Saccharomyces cerevisiae S288C: one gene and its partners. Changing the gene in region 2 together with the main gene of any one other region gives a genetic interaction. Each region holds a gene or a part of one and is shown on either strand. Other genes may lie near its edges. The genes, in order: VPS72, RPA34, CKB2 and CKB1.

What was found.
Region 1: mutations in RPA34 (region 2) and VPS72 together harm fitness more than expected from each alone (negative genetic interaction), as found in Saccharomyces cerevisiae (5 studies listed by BioGRID, with this or other methods).
Region 3: mutations in RPA34 (region 2) and CKB2 together harm fitness more than expected from each alone (negative genetic interaction), as found in Saccharomyces cerevisiae (5 studies listed by BioGRID).
Region 4: mutations in RPA34 (region 2) and CKB1 together harm fitness more than expected from each alone (negative genetic interaction), as found in Saccharomyces cerevisiae (5 studies listed by BioGRID).

The regions. Positions count from the first base shown.
Region 1 is NC_001136.10:1,423,676-1,429,491, reverse strand, and holds VPS72 (Vps72p), read left to right. Parts: upstream 1-2,284; coding exon 2,285-4,672; downstream 4,673-5,816. Other genes in the region: PAC11 (dynein intermediate chain), read left to right, coding at 1-304; 3,4-dihydroxy-2-butanone-4-phosphate synthase RIB3, read left to right, coding at 512-1,138; VPS60 (Vps60p), read left to right, coding at 1,372-2,061; VPS52 (Vps52p), read right to left, coding at 4,804-5,816. UniProt on the Saccharomyces cerevisiae protein: Participates in the catalytic exchange of histone H2A for the H2A variant HTZ1, an euchromatin-specific factor, leading to chromatin remodeling and changes in transcription of targeted genes. Indirectly involved in vacuolar protein sorting.
Region 2 is NC_001142.9:138,165-142,287, reverse strand, and holds RPA34 (DNA-directed RNA polymerase I subunit RPA34), read right to left. Parts: upstream 1,852-4,123; coding exon 1,150-1,851; downstream 1-1,149. Other genes in the region: SMT1 (Smt1p), read left to right, coding at 1-869; SCF ubiquitin ligase complex subunit DAS1, read right to left, coding at 2,918-4,123. UniProt on the Saccharomyces cerevisiae protein: DNA-dependent RNA polymerases catalyze the transcription of DNA into RNA using the four ribonucleoside triphosphates as substrates. Component of RNA polymerase I (Pol I) which synthesizes ribosomal RNA precursors.
Region 3 is NC_001147.6:403,790-407,044, reverse strand, and holds CKB2 (casein kinase 2 regulatory subunit CKB2), read right to left. Parts: upstream 1,278-3,255; coding exon 501-1,277; downstream 1-500. Other genes in the region: HIR2 (Hir2p), read left to right, coding at 1,657-3,255. UniProt on the Saccharomyces cerevisiae protein: Regulatory subunit of casein kinase II/CK2.
Region 4 is NC_001139.9:455,081-459,492, forward strand, and holds CKB1 (casein kinase 2 regulatory subunit CKB1), read left to right. Parts: upstream 1-3,075; coding exon 3,076-3,912; downstream 3,913-4,412. Other genes in the region: protein kinase ALK1, read left to right, coding at 1-1,987; GET complex subunit GET1, read right to left, coding at 2,083-2,790; J-type chaperone JAC1, read right to left, coding at 4,030-4,412. UniProt on the Saccharomyces cerevisiae protein: Regulatory subunit of casein kinase II/CK2.

The DNA of each region.
Region 1 (5,816 bases), on a different chromosome or scaffold from region 2:
CTCTACGAGGGTAACCGGGTTAGAGTTTCATTGGGACGATGCTCGGCGGCTAATGCTTCTATTATCATGTTCCACGGACTGGACGGTGCGGCTGTGGGACGCGCGAGCAGGGAAAGCTATCATAGGGGCGCCATTGTTGTTAGGGGGGCCCGTACTACGTGCACGCTGGCTCGAAAAAAACAATGGAGGGGAAAATAGTCGCACTCTACGGTGTCAAGTGTGGTGTGCAGATGGTCGCCTCGTTGTTGTAAATTGGGCTTTCGATGCTAAGACGTCCCTCTACACGGCCACTGTTATCTCCTAACGCCGCTTCGAGGCGGGTGAGCATAGGTTATTGCCTGATGAGTAATTTCTTAGCGAGAATTGATAAAAAAAAGCAAGGCTATTATTAATATACGTGCTATTGTGAAATTTTCATTGGCGTATATATGTGAGGTGAATGTAAATATCTCCAACAAAAAGCAGAAGGCTAAAAAAAAGGAAAGGAAAAGAAGAAAAGGCAACGTCGAAAATGTTTACACCAATTGATCAAGCTATAGAACACTTCAAGCAGAATAAGTTTGTAATTGTTATGGACGATGCCGGTCGTGAAAATGAAGGTGATCTTATTTGCGCTGCTGAAAATGTCAGCACTGAACAAATGGCCTTTCTTGTACGCCATTCCTCAGGCTACGTCTGTGCACCTATGACGAATGCCATTGCTGATAAGTTGGACCTTCCACTACTGAGAACAGGCATGAAGTTTGAATCCAATGATGACGACAGGCATGGAACTGCATACACAATAACTGTAGATGTAGCCCAAGGCACTACCACAGGTATTTCTGCTCACGACAGGTCGATGACTTGTAGGGCTCTTGCAGACTCTTCCTCTACGCCAAAATCATTTTTAAAACCAGGGCACATCTGTCCCTTGAGAGCCGCTGATGGCGGTGTTTTGCAGAGAAGAGGCCACACTGAGGCCGGTGTCGATTTGTGTAAACTAAGTGGACTAAGTCCCGTCGCTGTTATTGGCGAATTGGTTAACGATGACGAACAAGGAACTATGATGAGATTAAATGACTGCCAAGCGTTTGGTAAGAAACATGGCATTCCTTTGATCTCCATCGAAGAATTGGCCCAATATTTGAAGAAATAATCTGGTGAACATTTTCTCCATTCATTCTATCACAACAGACTCACACATATATACATGTATATATTTGTAACTTTGTATATATCTTTTGTTTTTTGACCTTTTTCTTCCTCTATGTTTTTCAGCCATACAAAAATATGGGATTTTTAGCAAGAGAAAAAGTACATCTAAAAAAAGTAGTAATAGGAGGAAGCCAAGATTGGTTGAAACACAGTTATAAACTCTTCAAGGCAATTATGAACAGGATTTTCGGATATGGGAACAAAAAGAGCCATGATCAGCTCTTACAAGAGTCGAATCAGTCCATGAATCAGGCCCAACAATCACTATCGAACAGAATATCCCAGTTAGATACTCAAATCGCCCAGTTAAACTTCCAGCTGCAAAATATTCAAAAGAATTTGCAAAGATCAAACAACAAGCAACCCTCGTTAAGAAAACAGGCTTTGAAGATTTTAAATAAACGTAAACAGTTAGAAAATATGAAGGATTCTTTAGATTCTCAATCCTGGTCCATGACGCAAGCCCAGTTAACAAATGATAACTTACAGAACACAATGATCACTATAAACGCACTAAAGCAAACAAACAATGCCATGAAGGCTCAATACGGCAAGATAAATATCGACAAACTACAGGACATGCAGGATGAGATGCTGGATTTAATAGAACAAGGGGATGAGCTGCAAGAAGTCTTGGCAATGAATAATAACAGTGGCGAGCTCGACGACATTAGTGATGCAGAGCTGGATGCAGAGCTGGATGCTCTGGCACAAGAGGATTTCACTTTGCCAACCAGCGAAAACTCATTAGGTAACGATATGCCCAGTTACTTACTAGGTGCGAATGCGCCACCGGCTTTTATTGATGAAGAGCCAAACTTAGATACTGAAGACAAAAATAAAGCTTTAGAAAGCGCTCAGTGAAAACAAAAAGCACACAAAGTTGCATATTCAGAATTTTTCTCTCCTTTCCCTTTTCTTTATATTCTCTTTGCTGGTAAGCCAAAATATGTACCTTATTTAGGTTTTAGTAGTTTTCTTTTTTCTTTGTTAAAAAAATCCTGATGGAAAAAACAGTAAGCAGAAAGCACCATGTAGTCTAATGAATACAAATAGAAGTGAAACCGAAGCAAATTCACAGTGCACGATGAGTGATGAAGGTGCTGATAAAAGTCTAGATACTAACACAGAATTTATTATACAAACACGATCTAGGAGGTCTAATGCCGGTAATAAATTACAAAAACTATTGGAGCAGGAGCTAAGAGATATAGAATCTACCAAAAGACAAATTTCTTCCTATAAGAATGGTAATGATGATGAAGAAGATGAAATAGGGCTGTTGTTTCAGGAAGATGAAGATGATGAAGATTTCGAAATGATGGCAAAAGATGACGATGATGAAGGGGAAGAAAAAGAAGATGAGACTCAAAGTATAAGGAAAGAGCCCTCTCAGGCTTCAAGTGAGCAAGCAGCCGATGACTTAATGTTCAGCAGTAGCGAATCTGAGGACTCCAGCAACGAGAATGATGAAGATGCAGAGGAAAAGGAAATACGAAGACAAGAACTACTTTCAAGAAAGAAAAGAAACAAGAGATTACAGAAGGGTCCCGTTGTAATCAAAAAACAAAAACCTAAGCCTAAGTCAGGAGAAGCTATACCAAGATCGCACCATACCCATGAACAATTAAACGCAGAGACGTTACTATTAAATACAAGGAGAACTTCTAAAAGATCATCGGTAATGGAAAACACGATGAAAGTTTATGAGAAATTGTCTAAAGCTGAAAAAAAGAGAAAAATTATACAAGAAAGAATAAGGAAACACAAGGAGCAGGAGTCTCAGCATATGCTGACACAAGAAGAGAGGCTACGGATTGCCAAGGAGACTGAGAAGCTGAATATTTTGTCACTGGATAAGTTCAAGGAACAAGAAGTTTGGAAAAAGGAGAATCGTCTAGCTTTGCAGAAAAGACAAAAGCAGAAATTCCAGCCAAATGAGACTATACTGCAATTTTTATCTACTGCTTGGCTAATGACGCCAGCGATGGAGTTAGAAGATCGTAAATATTGGCAGGAACAATTGAATAAACGTGATAAGAAGAAGAAAAAATATCCGAGGAAGCCAAAGAAGAATTTAAATCTCGGAAAACAGGACGCATCAGATGATAAAAAGCGGGAGAGTGAAGAATCGATAAAGAACGATGGCGACGTGAATTCTTTGGGTGAGAATTCTTCATCTGTACACAACCAGAAAAGGATTGAGGAAACTTCTACTAACGATACAGTTGAAGGAGAATCGAGTCCAGATGCAGCGGTGAGTAGAGTAAATTCAGACGAATTAAAGCCAACAGCATTACCTGATGTTACATTGGACGCAATTGCAAACAAGCAGAGTACCGTTGATGAAGCTCCCAACAGCCAACCACAAAAGAATATAATAACTAATGAGCAAAAAATTACCAATGTAGGCGAACCGATACAAAATTTACATAATGAAGAAATTAAAGATGAAATGGTAAGTGCTCTCGAGAGCAGGGAAAATACTTTTGAAAACTCATCACCTGCTGCCCAAGTGGTCTCACAAAGGGATAATTCTGCAACACCTACACCATCAAACTCCACTGGCACTGAAGATACTATATTGATCTCTCCGGATACGGATATAAAAGGAGAGCCTGAACCTTGTCTGAAAACCGAAGGCATCGAGAACTTATCTCATAATGTACCACAAGAGACCAAAAGCAATACTGATGTTTCTTTCTTGAAACAAGTAACGTTTACCGACCATCCGCAAGTGGCCATAATCGATACTGAAGAGTCACCCTCAAAAAAAGATACAGCTAATGTTGATGAATCTTCCGCGGAAAACTCTTTATCAACACAGACCTACGAAGGGCCTGAGCAATTAACCTCAAGGAACTTTGTTACACTTTATGATTTTCCTAATGCTCCTCCAAATCTAAAAGATTTTAACACAAACTTATTTGGTGATCGATGGTCATACACAAATGGGTTATCCGCCACTCAGCGTCCACAAGATATGAAAACTGTTTTCCACTCCATTTTACCATCACCTCCTCAGTCTTCAGTACCGTCTCCTACCGTAGATATATCACTTGATCTGTCAGCTCTGGCAAATTTCCCATCTTTTGGGGAATACGATAAGAAAATAGTCCATCAAATCAACACAGAGATAAATAAGGATTTGGAAATCAAAATTAAAACACAGCCTCCAACGGGTGTCTTCTTAGCCAATGGTATAAGAAAAAAATGTTTAATCACAAATAAAGAATGTCAGTACTTTGATCCAAGGACTGGTGTGCCTTATTCTGATGTGGAAGCTTATAAAATTATTCAGCGGATTCAAGATCCTATTTCTAAGGAGGAGGGAAGGTCAGATATCAAGCGTGATGAAACGACAAATGAGGATAGTGACGATCAAGTGAGATTCAAGTGGTTTGGGTTCAAAAACGGCGGTATTTACCTTGATTTAAGTCAAAGACCTGCAAAAGGTGTTCCTGAAGGATTTTAATTGAGACAGACTATATAATGGTAGGTCGTTAAACATTTGACTATATTCCACACAAAATAAGAAATCATAAAGATCATTTTACATAAAAATATACTTTATACGCTCCATGTCTTATACAATCGTTACATTCATCAATTTCTGGTGAAAGCTTCAACTAAAGTTTTGAAATGATTTTCGGTCTCTCTGATTATTAGTGGTACGCTTGAATCATTATCGTCGTCATTCGCAACTTTCGTACCAACATTTTCAGCAGAATCAAAATTGTAGTTTTGTGCATCCGAGTCATTTATATTTAAATGTAGATGCAATTGCTGTAGGTTATTGTATAAATACATGTAATTTGTAGCCAGAAATCTTTCTGGTGATTTCGTCTTTTTACTGCACTTTGTCATGACTGTTTCGAAATCATTTCTTAATCTAATGATGGAATTGTATAAGGGTTCAGATCTTTCGTCTATGGACTGCTTATGTGTTATTGCCAACGTCAAGAAGCTTGATAAAAATTTACCGAACTGTACAGTTAACTCATGAGGTGAGGTCAAAGGGCTACTATTGGATGTGCTTGAGTTGCCGGCATATTTTGCCACATTTGTAGTTATTGCCGCTTTTCGTAAGCTCTCGCATTGAAAATCGACCAATTGCTGAAATCGAGGCCATAATTGAATTAATTGACCATTCAAGAAACTATCAAACATAGACGGTATTCCTCTCCTTTCTGATTCAAATTGTAATTGATTGGCCACACGAATACTTATTAATACACCAAAAATGTCATAATTATATTGGATCAGTTGTTGAGTGTATGTTGTGGCTTCATCAAAAGTTGGTTGAAATATTTGTTCCAATAAACCATTAATTTCCTCAAAATTATCGCCATTCATAGCGAAGAAATCTTTTAAAAAATGGTACTCCACCGTACAGTTATCTAAAATTGCAAGGTTTAAATTTTTAAATCCAATTTCAATGTAGTTTTTCGTTGTGTTATTTTCTGCAATTTGGGATACCATTACCGTATTGTCTTCTTGTGTTAAAATGTTCAATCTTTTCTTTATCTGAAAGTATTTATCAATTTTCTCATCTGTTACAGGGAGTTTATTATAGAAAGCATTTGAAGCGGATGTAGTTAGATAATTTGAGAAAAACA
Region 2 (4,123 bases):
TTTTCTCACATTTGAACTCAATAGTTACCCAGGCAACGGATAACAAAAGTTCTTCTTCGAAGGAACTACAAGGTTCATCGTCCGAGGATCTATATGATAGGCTGCTGCTTTTGCAGTATGTGGGCAAGTTAACTAATGTGCGTCAAATAACAGAAATTTTGCTCTCAAAAAAGTTCAACAAATTCGATAAAGTATGGGAGCACAGAGCCTTGTTTGACGAATACCAAAGAGTAGTGATATCCATCCTGTTGTATTATAGAACGCACGATGTGCAAATAAGAAAAGACTACGAGCCTCGTTGGTTGTCCGATTACAGTGATCTACCGTTTCCTCTGCGACGTCTTTTGTGGAGATGTCTAACTTCTAACGTATCTGAAGATAATATTCGTCAAAATATAATTCATTACATTAAGCTTTTAGGCGCAAATTGGAGGAATAACGATTTGATTTTAATTTATCAATCTTTGTATGAAAAGTCACATATATTGCCTGATTTAACGGTCCTGAACCACAATAAAGATGATGGTTTCTCTTTCACCCAAAATCAAATCCTGCTTGTTCGTATTTTAAGGGCTATTTCGAAATGCGTTGAAGAGGAACCAAAATTGGTCAAAAAATGGTTAATTGATATCGTAAAATTGAGTATACAAAGCAAAATAATGCTGGAGTCACCGAAGAAACCGTCCACACCAATAATGGACCAATACAAATTTATTAGATCCTTAGATATTTCTATACGGAGTATCCATCGGACGTGCCAGGATAAACTAATCTTTGAAGATTTACAGGTCAACCTTGGAAGTGTATTAAAGATGATTAATGAAGAAGAACACGAGTTAAAAACACACTTACCATTGAACCTCATATAAGAGAGAACACAGAAAAAGCAGGTTAATAATATTCATATGGCGACTCTAAATCAAGAAAAAAATAATCGTTTGTGTTACACCCGAAATATTGAAATTTCTAATCGTATACACAAATTTAAGTATGCAAAACTAAATAGTAATATTGCCCACACAAAACATTCATCAGTTTCCACCAGCAGAAATGCCTTTTTATATATGTAAATGCGAAAAAAAATCACTGACACACACACAAATGCACATTTTTATCTTATGTTACACACAGTTATACGCACATACGCATTCAATCTCTATGTTTCTTTTTCTTATCCTTTTTATCCTTCTTCTCCCTCTTCTCCCTCTTCTCCTTCTTCTTTTTCTTCTTTTCACTAGACTCCTCTTCATCGTCGTGATGTGAACGCTTCTTTGGTTCTTTCTTATTTTCTTTAACTTCCTCAGCCACATGGAAATCTTCGGCATCATAACCAGTAGCAAAATGCTCCAACTTCAAGCCTTCTACTTTTGGAACATCTTTACGTGGAACTCTTACCTTACTGTAATCAATAGCTGGGATTTTAGCGGTTTCGCTGACAGAAAATACCTTGTCAAACTGTAATGGTGCATTATCCTTGGCAGTGCTAGCAATTTTAAGACTTTCCTTACTTTCCGAAGGAACCAATAAAGTCATATTACTGAGGTTATCCTGTGTTAACGAGGACTCAATATCTGTATCGTCCATGATTTTATAATCGTGTTTATCAATTGTCATGGTTGTAGAGGATTCAAAATCTACAGGCAGAGATTTTAACTTGGAGATGTCCACATTTGATGGGAATTTGATCAGCCAAACCTGTTGCTGTTTCGCTTTTTTTTTGTTATCACCGTTGAGAGGGAAATTCTTTAAATGTTTACATTTCTTGAAACCATCTGGTATGCTGAACTCGTTTGATATCACTTCATCATCAGAGTCTGAATCTGATACGTAATCTTTCGAAAGCTTGGACATATCAATTTTTTGTTAATCCCGTTTATTGAATCCTAGCTGCTCACTGCTCACTCGATCACAGACCTATATGATACCGAATACCCTATAACTTGAGCTATTCAATGCTCATCGATAAAATTTTTCATTTCTTTAATTTCATGTTTGAGAAAAAAAGTTTCGCAACACCCAATAACCACACGCTGCCCTAAGAAAAAACTTTCTCAGGCTGAAAAGAAAATTTTTTTTCATTTTCTAGAGCTTTATGGGCAGAAACAAAATGTATAAATACTGGACAACCTTCTGTAAGGTTATAATAATCTCGACATTCGGTTAATAAGAATTCCCCTACATAAGAACAAACAGCAGTGACTGTAATGTAGTAAGAATGAGAGTAATCCTCCTCTTTCGACTTCAGCATTGCACTCCTTCCCATTTGATACATTCAAGTTTGAATAATCTCAAGAGAAATTTCATGACACTTTTTTAAACAGAAAAGAAGAATTGATTGGCCCTGATGATAATGGTGTCTCTTCTTTCCTCGTCCGATTCGACCATGACGACAAGGGATTTTATCTCGTTCTCTTAATGCGAATGATTTTGAAAAGATGTTGCTTCTGTGACATTTTTTTTTAATCATTTGTGTTTGCAAACGGGAACTTTTCTTGCCAGTGTTATACAACACATGCAGATCTGAGCCTTTATTTTTTCTCATGAGATTATCAAATGTGGGTAATTTGAGGAGACAGATAATATATATAATTTATGATCACGGTGATGAAAGACTGGTTCCTTAACATTCGCAGTTTCCACGGTAGGAGTACGCTTACGAACCCATCGTTAGTACTCTCGGTGACCGCTCTTCTTTAGAGACCTTCCTAGGATGTCTGAGTGATCGTATACTGTAGTATCTTGTGTTTACTTTATCAAACCAGCTTACCAACATTGGAATAGTTGGTTGATTTTTTTCTAGCATCCGAATGGATCTTGTATTTCCTTAATATGAAGTAGACCAGTAATCTGAATCCTGCTAGCTTAAAAAATGCGTTGAATATATATTATTAAATATATATATTTGAAGGGGAGTTGATTACATAACAGTGGCTATTCTTGCAATGGTATCAGAATTATTATTGTTGTTGTTGCTGTCGTTCTCCAGATTCTTGTTCGATTCCTTTGACCATCCATACAGATTACTCTTATAATCATAATGATAAAAGACGGGTTCAAAAATACGTTCATTATTCTCCTCCATAACTATTGTGGGAATGTCATTCAACATCAAGAATCTCAAATGAGGAAAACTTTTCAAAAAAGTAACGTAAATCGACTTGAAGTGATGGATAAGAGCGTGATAACACATAATAATATCTCTTTTGGTCAATGATTCATGAGGAAGTTCCAGGTCAGTGGAAATTGTAGCTGCTGTGTCATCACTACTTGGAGGAATGGCCGCATTAATTTCATCATCATCATCATCGTCATCGATTATTATCATTTCGGGCTCGCTCATATGAGCGGTTGATGTGGAAGTCACGGTGGAGTGTTGATGTGGGTTATTAACGATTTTGGGCACCAACTGGGATTTAGAATTTCTATATTCCAAAAGGTTGCGGTTCATCTTGGTCACAAAATTAGTCAAATTCATTGGTTGTGTTCTAACGCTCGGATAAGCATCACAAGCTTTAGAGTATGGTAACAAAGATAGGTATTTCATCATTTTAAAAATATCCTTTGCAGCAATGTCTTGAAGATCGTGAATATAGTAGTCTTCAGGGAACATGAATATTTTGCCCTTCAGAATGTCACTGAATACTATTTGACAGTTTGTGCAGTTGCATTGCTGATTTAGTTGGAACTTATTTTCTTGAATATTGATGATTTGTGGGATAAGACCGTCGTATCTCAGATCTATGAATTGCAATTTGGAGCAAGCTAAAAGAATGGAGAGAAATATGTGAGGATTTGTGGGTTCAGGTACATACTCCTCTAAGAAATCCATTTTTAGTCTTTTCAAATTGGTTAACGAACTAAAAAGATCTACGAGGATATGAACATCCTGCTTAATAGAAATCAAAGACAAATCTTCCAGGTTCTCAAATTCTTTAAAATCTTTCAGCATTTCTGTCTCGCGTTTTAACAAAGTGTCATTCCAAGAAATGATGGTAAGAATTTTCAATGTCCTCTTGTCAAAAACCTCCGATAGTTTAGTCAGAGGATTGCCGGGTCGTATCTTTTTAACAAAATAATCATTATTGTAAAACTCCCTCCTCCAATGCAATTTTAAATCGATGAT
Region 3 (3,255 bases), on a different chromosome or scaffold from region 2:
ACCAAAGAATGAGTAAATCTCCTCTTTTCAGTACTTCCAGATTAGTCTTCAAACAGCTTTTGAGTTTTTAAAATATAAACCGCCTCTTAGTTCATAGGCAGTCTCCACGCGATGCCGCCACTTCTCCAATTTCTTGATAAATAAGGATGCTTCCTACATTCAAAGATTTCAAGCTATTCACTAAAATAACACCAATAATTCGTGGGTAACCACATTTGCAAATTGTTGATATATAACAGGCTAACTTCGGAGCACGCTCTTTTATCTGGTTGTATTATTGCCGTAAGGGGCAATAACGGTATATAAAAATTTAATATTAAATAGGAAAAGTAAAATACGAATGGAGGTAGAAAATAGTAATATTCTAGGAAAGAAAATGCTAGGAGAACAAATGATACCTGATTTTCACAATTTTATGACGAAGTTTCTCCATTATTTTCATTTTCGTTTTCAATTTCGCCTAGGATTTCATTTCGAATTTTTTCTTCTTTCTTTAATAGTTAGGTTTTAAAACCACCACTTTTCGTCAAATCAACATCTTTGGATTCAAGTTTCTCAACTAACTTGAGTCGTTGTAGTTCTTGCCACCTTGTCAGTTGAGCTTGTTTATGTAATTCAAATCCAAATATTTTTGGAACATATCTTTTAGTTGGGTGTTTGGGTACCATATCTGGAAATGCTTGCAAAAACATACCTGGAAAACTTGTTCCAAAGTATGCACCATCAATGGAACTATGTCTCGATGATTTTGGTATATAAAGATCCTCACAAGATGGACAATATAACTTGACACAATCTATACCAGGAATGTCATGCAAACCAACCGGTAACAACTGTTGTAAATTACAATACACACGGGGACATCTTCCAAAGTCCGCCTCTTTGTACTTAGCGTACATTTTTTGCAATCCTTTGATAGTTATAATGTAGCGTGCATGGATGAGACCATACAGCTTCCGGGAATCTGATTCTAATTGTTCTAAACGGGCATGTGTCATATTCTCTAGGATACTATCATCCAAATCATCCACAATATATTGTACCACGTAGGAAAATTTTGAAACTGTCTTTTGCAAGTTCATCAGATTAAAACGATCAGTGATGTACTCAGGATCGACATCACAGAAATATTCATGGCCTTTTCTCCCAAGAAATAAATCGATCCACATATCCACGTATTCCGATGAGTCAGAGTCATCATCCATGAGGACATCATCTTGTTCCACTCTGGAGCCTTCTCTAGTCACTGTTCCCACATTCTCCGATCTACTGCCCATGATCTGCTTTTCTATCAGTTCTCTAAGTCCCTTAATCTTGAATAATTTGAAAAAAGCTAGTATTTCTCAAGTAAAAGATTGATGAAAAAATACAGCAGGAAAATTCCACGTATCTGGAATGACCAACTTCTTTAAGAATGTGATTTACTTATTCTATTTGGTGCTTGTTTTCATTTGATAAAGGATTGCCAATACACCTCCATTTATTCGCTTTCATATTTTTTCTTCCTGGAAGGTCGACAAAAAAAAGCGCGAAAAAAATATCAGTTAATTCGGCTAGAATTATGAAGTCTTCATAAAACAATATACAAAAAGTGCTAAATCGTCCATACAGAGGAATACGCCACGCAGCAAAGGAGTTCCTACACAATCCGGAACAATGAGATTATTAAAGTATCCTTTGGATATTCATAATGAACAAGTGAATGCCTTAGCTGCCCTTGGTCCCTATATCATATTGGCAGGCAGTGGGGGTCACGTGATGGCGTGGAGACAACAACAACTAGTCGATACTGCATTCGATAGGGTTATGATTAAGGATTTAAAGCCAGAAGTTTCTTTCCAGGTGGATCAGGATACTACCGGTGATATTTTTTTCATAACAGGTGATCTCGAAACATTGTATATTGGATCTGAACATCGTCTGTGGGGTTATTCAGGTTGGCTCTGTAGAGATACAAATAACATCAATTCTGTCGAAAAAATGAACAGTAAGCTTCTGTTCGAGTGTAAATCTCCAAGCACAATAACGGATGTGAAATATGACATAAACTTAGGTATCTTATTTGTTCTTTTAAGTAATGAAAATAAGATACTATTATTTCGGCATAAAACCTTTGATAAACTCTCTGAAATAACTATTGACAAGGCGAGCAAACCTATTACAGGCATAATAGATCCTACTGGCCAAACTTTTACTGTTATGACTTCAGATAGATCAATTTTAGTCTATCAAATTAACAAAACGGGTACACACAAACTCATAAATAAACTTACGCAGCATGTACAAATGTATCCATTACATTATAGAATCTCAATGTCACCTCAGGCAGACATTTTACCAGTGATAAACTCGGTGAAAGGTGTGCCGAATAATGCTACCAGCTGTACCGCTTTACTTGACAGAAATAACAACTACAAAGTTACAAAAACACTGGTAACACCTTCTTCAAATGGATGTAGAGTTCTTGTTTATTCTCCAGCATTTTATGAAAAGCCTAATTTGAAAAAGGGCACCAGCACACGCTATAATTTAATCGCCACTTCGGGATCTACAGACGGTACTATTTTGGTTTGGAATACGAAGAGAATGAAACCTTTGTTTAATGCTCTCCAGGTTTCCTCCACCGCAATAAACGATATGTCTTGGTCACAGGATGGGTTCACCTTGTTTGCCATTTCAAACGACGCGACATTGTATACATTCGCATTCCAAGAGAAGGATTTAGGTGTAGCATTGCCTCAAACGGAAATCAAATCGTTACAAGAAGTAAACAAAAAGCTTCCAAAGCTTGAAGAGCCGTTAGCAGAACAAATACCGAAAAGTTTCCCAGAAAACATCAAATTAGAAGAATCTGCAAGCGCAGCACCTATTCCAAACGATATTGGTAGATCTGCCGTGGGCAAGAAACCGACCAAAAAAAAAACGGCTAACAATCAAACTAATGGCATCAAAACTATCCAGAGCACATCAATGGAATTCAACACTCCATCATACACTGTGCCAAGGGATTTGAAGAGAAAGCCAAAAGAGGCAACTCCAAGTAACATTGCCCCTGGCAGCAAAAAGCAGAAAAAAGAGCTACAGCCAATTGACTTTTTAGATACCGGCTTGCTCCTACCCAATACGTCTTTCTCAAGGATTAGACTTGCAACACCGAAAATCAGATCTACATTTAAATACTCTCCAATTAATAATCCGAATTTAATCCTCGATGTTAAGAATGGATCTGGCAATGAACAAAGGCCGACAATTGTC
Region 4 (4,412 bases), on a different chromosome or scaffold from region 2:
ATGGTCTCTATTATCCAATCATTCTGCTGTTTCATCATCTAAATCTAAGAAAAGATGGTCTGTACTTTCTTCAAGCTTTACCAGTGAATCTCATAAGGACAGGGAATCGAGGAACGTTTTGCAACAAAAAAGAAAATCCTTGCAGAGTTATTCAAGCTTAGATACGGTAGCATCTAATAGCTCTATCTCTGCTTCTTCTTCTTTGAAAAGATCGTCCACTGGTCTTTCCCTCAGACAATTGTTTACCAAGATAGGCATAAACGATGATATATCACAACCTGGGATCGGGATTCCGCAAGGTAAGGAAAATCTGCCTCCAACTATGGGCAAAAAAAATTCATCAATTGCTTCCACTAGTTCGGAAAACAGACTTAGGACACCATTGAAGCCGCTTGTTAATCATTCTAAAAGGCCCACTTCACAACCACAACAGCAACAACCACTATATAATGCATCATTGTCCTCGAGAAGATCGTCGATTTCTTCCACTGTCTCTTCTTCCAGCTCGTCTAAATGGAGATTCTGGAAGAGAAATAAGAACCAGACACCTGCATTGTTGCAACCAGACCACCATTCTTTAAAAACCTTTCCTGCAGTAAACCGTCGTGATTCCATGACGCCCGTTGAACCAAGAAATATGGTAAAACATAAGACATCCTTTTCAGATTTCCATAAGACTATCTTCAGTTCAAATACGTATTCTGAAAGCAGCGATACAATATCTTCCATGGAAATTACTTTGAAAAACAAAGCTTCTTCCTCAAGTCTATCTTTGAACGTGTTGAAGAAAAGGAATTCGCAATCAAGTTTGAAGCACAAAAGTTCACATGCATCCTTACAAAAATTCAAAAGAAACAAAGGAAAGTCCTCCATGATAGCACCATCGACAGCAACTAATAGCAGCAATGATGACTCTTGTAGCTACAGTTCCAAAAATTCTACGTTGAGTCACCGAATATCGTTACCTGTACCGGACCAAGTTTCCCGTGATAAAATTCAGAACAAATTAAGATATTCGACCTCATTACTCTCATTAAATTCTAAATCATCTTTACCGATGAACAAAAATGATCATGATGAGACACTTCTAAGACAGATTTTACTAAATTGTGATATAAAGAGAATTTTAAACCCCGCAAAAGGAGATGTATTGCCTTTAATCAACGATGTAAACCATTTGTCATCAATACAATTAACATCAAATGTTTGGCAAATTGGTGAAGTAATCTGTAAAAAAGTTTCTCTCGGTACTATTGATGACATTACATGGGATAGAAAGTTCTTATCTTTGCAGGAACTGGAAAAACTCAAAATCATGCAACAAAAATTTGATGGCATACCGCAACTATTGAAAAGTTTTGTTGTTAAAGAGGCAAATGGGGGGTTGTATTTGTACTTACTATTCAAAGATCACGGTACCCCAATTTCGTTAATCTCACTGAAAAACTGGAAGCAGATTCTAAAGATTTTTTGGTCTTGTGCTGGTATAATTCATGGGTTGGAAAAAAATTTGAAATTTGAACATCGTAATCTTACTTTGGATAATATTTTGATAGATGGTAATGGGAATATAACAATTATTGATTTTAAATGCAGTAGATTGCAAACTCCTCAAGATGATGTTTTATATCTACGGCTAGATCATCCACTCTTTTTTCTAAATGGGAAAGACAAGAGTAAAATAAACGAATACCAGTATCAATTTGAGTTTGAAATCTATCAAAGTATGCGGATCTTGTTGAACATGGACGCGTCAGCTTTTGAGCCCATGACAAATTTGTATTGGTTATATTACCTGTCACGCGTTTTACTAAAGTTTGGTGACAGGAAGCTTGGTAAGAATGATGCAAACAGGGATAAAATGGCAAGGGTGATAAACCATTTGGAAATGAACTTGGCAGTTCATAAAAGAGGGGGGCAGTTATTCAAAAGATTGGAGACGGAGGACATTAAGAATACTGGAGATTTACTAAAACTTTATAAATAAAACAAATAGGAATGTTGACATTTATATTTCATTTTCTTTCTATTGTATACTCCAATACATAAACATATTATATATACGTACATAATGTAATAACACTAATCTAAAATAATGGCATCGTCGACAGCATCCAAGGCTTTCTCCTCTTGAGTCTCCACAGATGCAGGTGCTTCCATTTTGGGAGTCAAAAACAATTGCTTAACGATAAATTCCACGCCGTTGATGACATTCATCAATGCCCAAACCCAGATTCCCAAAGAGACACTCTGTAAAGCCATATCATCAAACTTGGAAGCACCAAATTTGCCCTCCATTATATGCCATTTCTGAGAAATAGTCCTTAGAGGATGCAAGAGAACATATAACCAGCCTTGAGACCAAACACCACTTACAAACGTAGGGAACAAGGTGCTAGTCGAGGAACTCAACTTGTAAACTGGTGTCTTGCCGTACATAATCTTAAACACAAAAAATGGCACCGTCAATGCCAATAACCTGAGTTTGTGAAGATGGGCCTGAAAGGCTTTATTTTCTGATTGTATTTCGTCCTTCAAGTTATTTATTTCTTTATCTAACGAGTCCAATTTTCTATTGTTCTTAGTCCATTTGGCATAATTATCCTGCGCGGAGATAGAGTTGTTGAATTCTTTTAATTCGTGACGTTCTTTGACCTTGGCTAAGTATTTTTTGGATAATTCATTTCCTGGTGCAAATTTAGAGATCCATTTCTCGTGGTATTTGTTTGTATACTGTAGAAACTTTGTGACCACAATAAAGAATATCGCTACCGCTGCTGCCCAATGCATTTCTCCTATTTCAATCAACTAGACGTAGTTCAAGGATTGCAAACTGTCCTGCTTTCTTTTATCTGGTCTTTTTATCCCGAGGTATTGTTGTATATACCACTACTCTGTGATTTTTTTTCACTCTTGGGAAGGAAAGAAAAAGTGAAAACATCAACTGGTAAGTGTCTAATGACAAAAACAGGAGGTAGTTGGTACGTGCAAAACACGATAGTGACGTTAATCCGAATCTGTAAATTGGTGAATTGGTATTTAGAAGCGACCATTAGCTAAAAGAGAGAGAAAACTATGTCGCAAGAGTTTGTGGAAGACTATTCACGTACAGGGTCCTCAGACGACGAGGATAGTGGAGCTTATGACGAGTGGATTCCATCGTTCTGTTCCAGATTTGGTCACGAGTACTTCTGCCAAGTCCCGACAGAGTTTATCGAGGATGATTTCAATATGACCTCGTTATCCCAAGAGGTACCCCACTACCGGAAAGCTCTGGATTTGATATTGGATTTGGAGGCTATGAGTGATGAAGAAGAGGACGAAGACGACGTGGTGGAAGAAGACGAAGTGGATCAAGAGATGCAGAGTAATGACGGTCATGATGAAGGCAAAAGGAGAAACAAGTCGCCAGTGGTGAACAAGAGTATTATCGAGCACGCAGCAGAACAGTTATACGGATTGATACATGCAAGATTTATTCTGACCAAGCCAGGCCTGCAAGCAATGGCTGAAAAATTCGACCACAAGGAATTTGGAACGTGCCCCCGTTACTATTGTAATGGCATGCAGTTGCTGCCTTGTGGGTTGAGCGATACAGTTGGGAAACACACCGTAAGGTTGTACTGTCCCAGTTGTCAGGACTTGTATCTTCCCCAATCATCTAGATTCCTGTGCTTAGAAGGTGCATTTTGGGGGACAAGCTTCCCTGGTGTGTTCTTGAAACATTTCAAAGAATTGGAAGAGTATGTGGAAAGGAAAAGTAAAGAGTCCTACGAGTTGAAAGTTTTTGGGTTCAGGATAAATGATGAGGCAGTATCTGGTCCTAGAATGAAGTGGTTGAGACAATATCCATCCACGGAGGAGGACTGGGAAGAATTTGCCAAATGCGAGTTCGAGACACCGGCGGTTTAACCCTTGATTTATTTTCCTCTTTGCCCTACCATATACATATGTACTTTACCTATTTACATTGTTTCAGTTTTTATATCACCACTATTATTATTATTACTATTACCACTTTGGAGTACTTTAGTGATTCATTTCCAATTGTTTTCCTGGAGCCCAGTCTTTGAATGCCTTGGCCAAGTTGTACCAGTACTTTAGCTCCACGGTCAACTTCACTGCGGCGGCGTAATCCTTGTCATTGTAGCATTGTCCCAACTGGGCTTCAATATCTTGAATTCTTTCCTTGTTTTGCTTTTCAAGCAGCTTCACACCAGCTTCGTCGTCCATCTGGGATAATTCATCATGGATGTCTAGAACTTTCAATAGTAACTGTGGATCACTGGTAGTTACTTCATTTGAGGTCTGTTCTTGCGTCAAATCGATATTGCGCAAGAGTTTTAGCATATATTGTGACCTTCTAAGGGGATCTTTGAGAGTATGGTAAGCTTGATTAAGAGTTGATGACT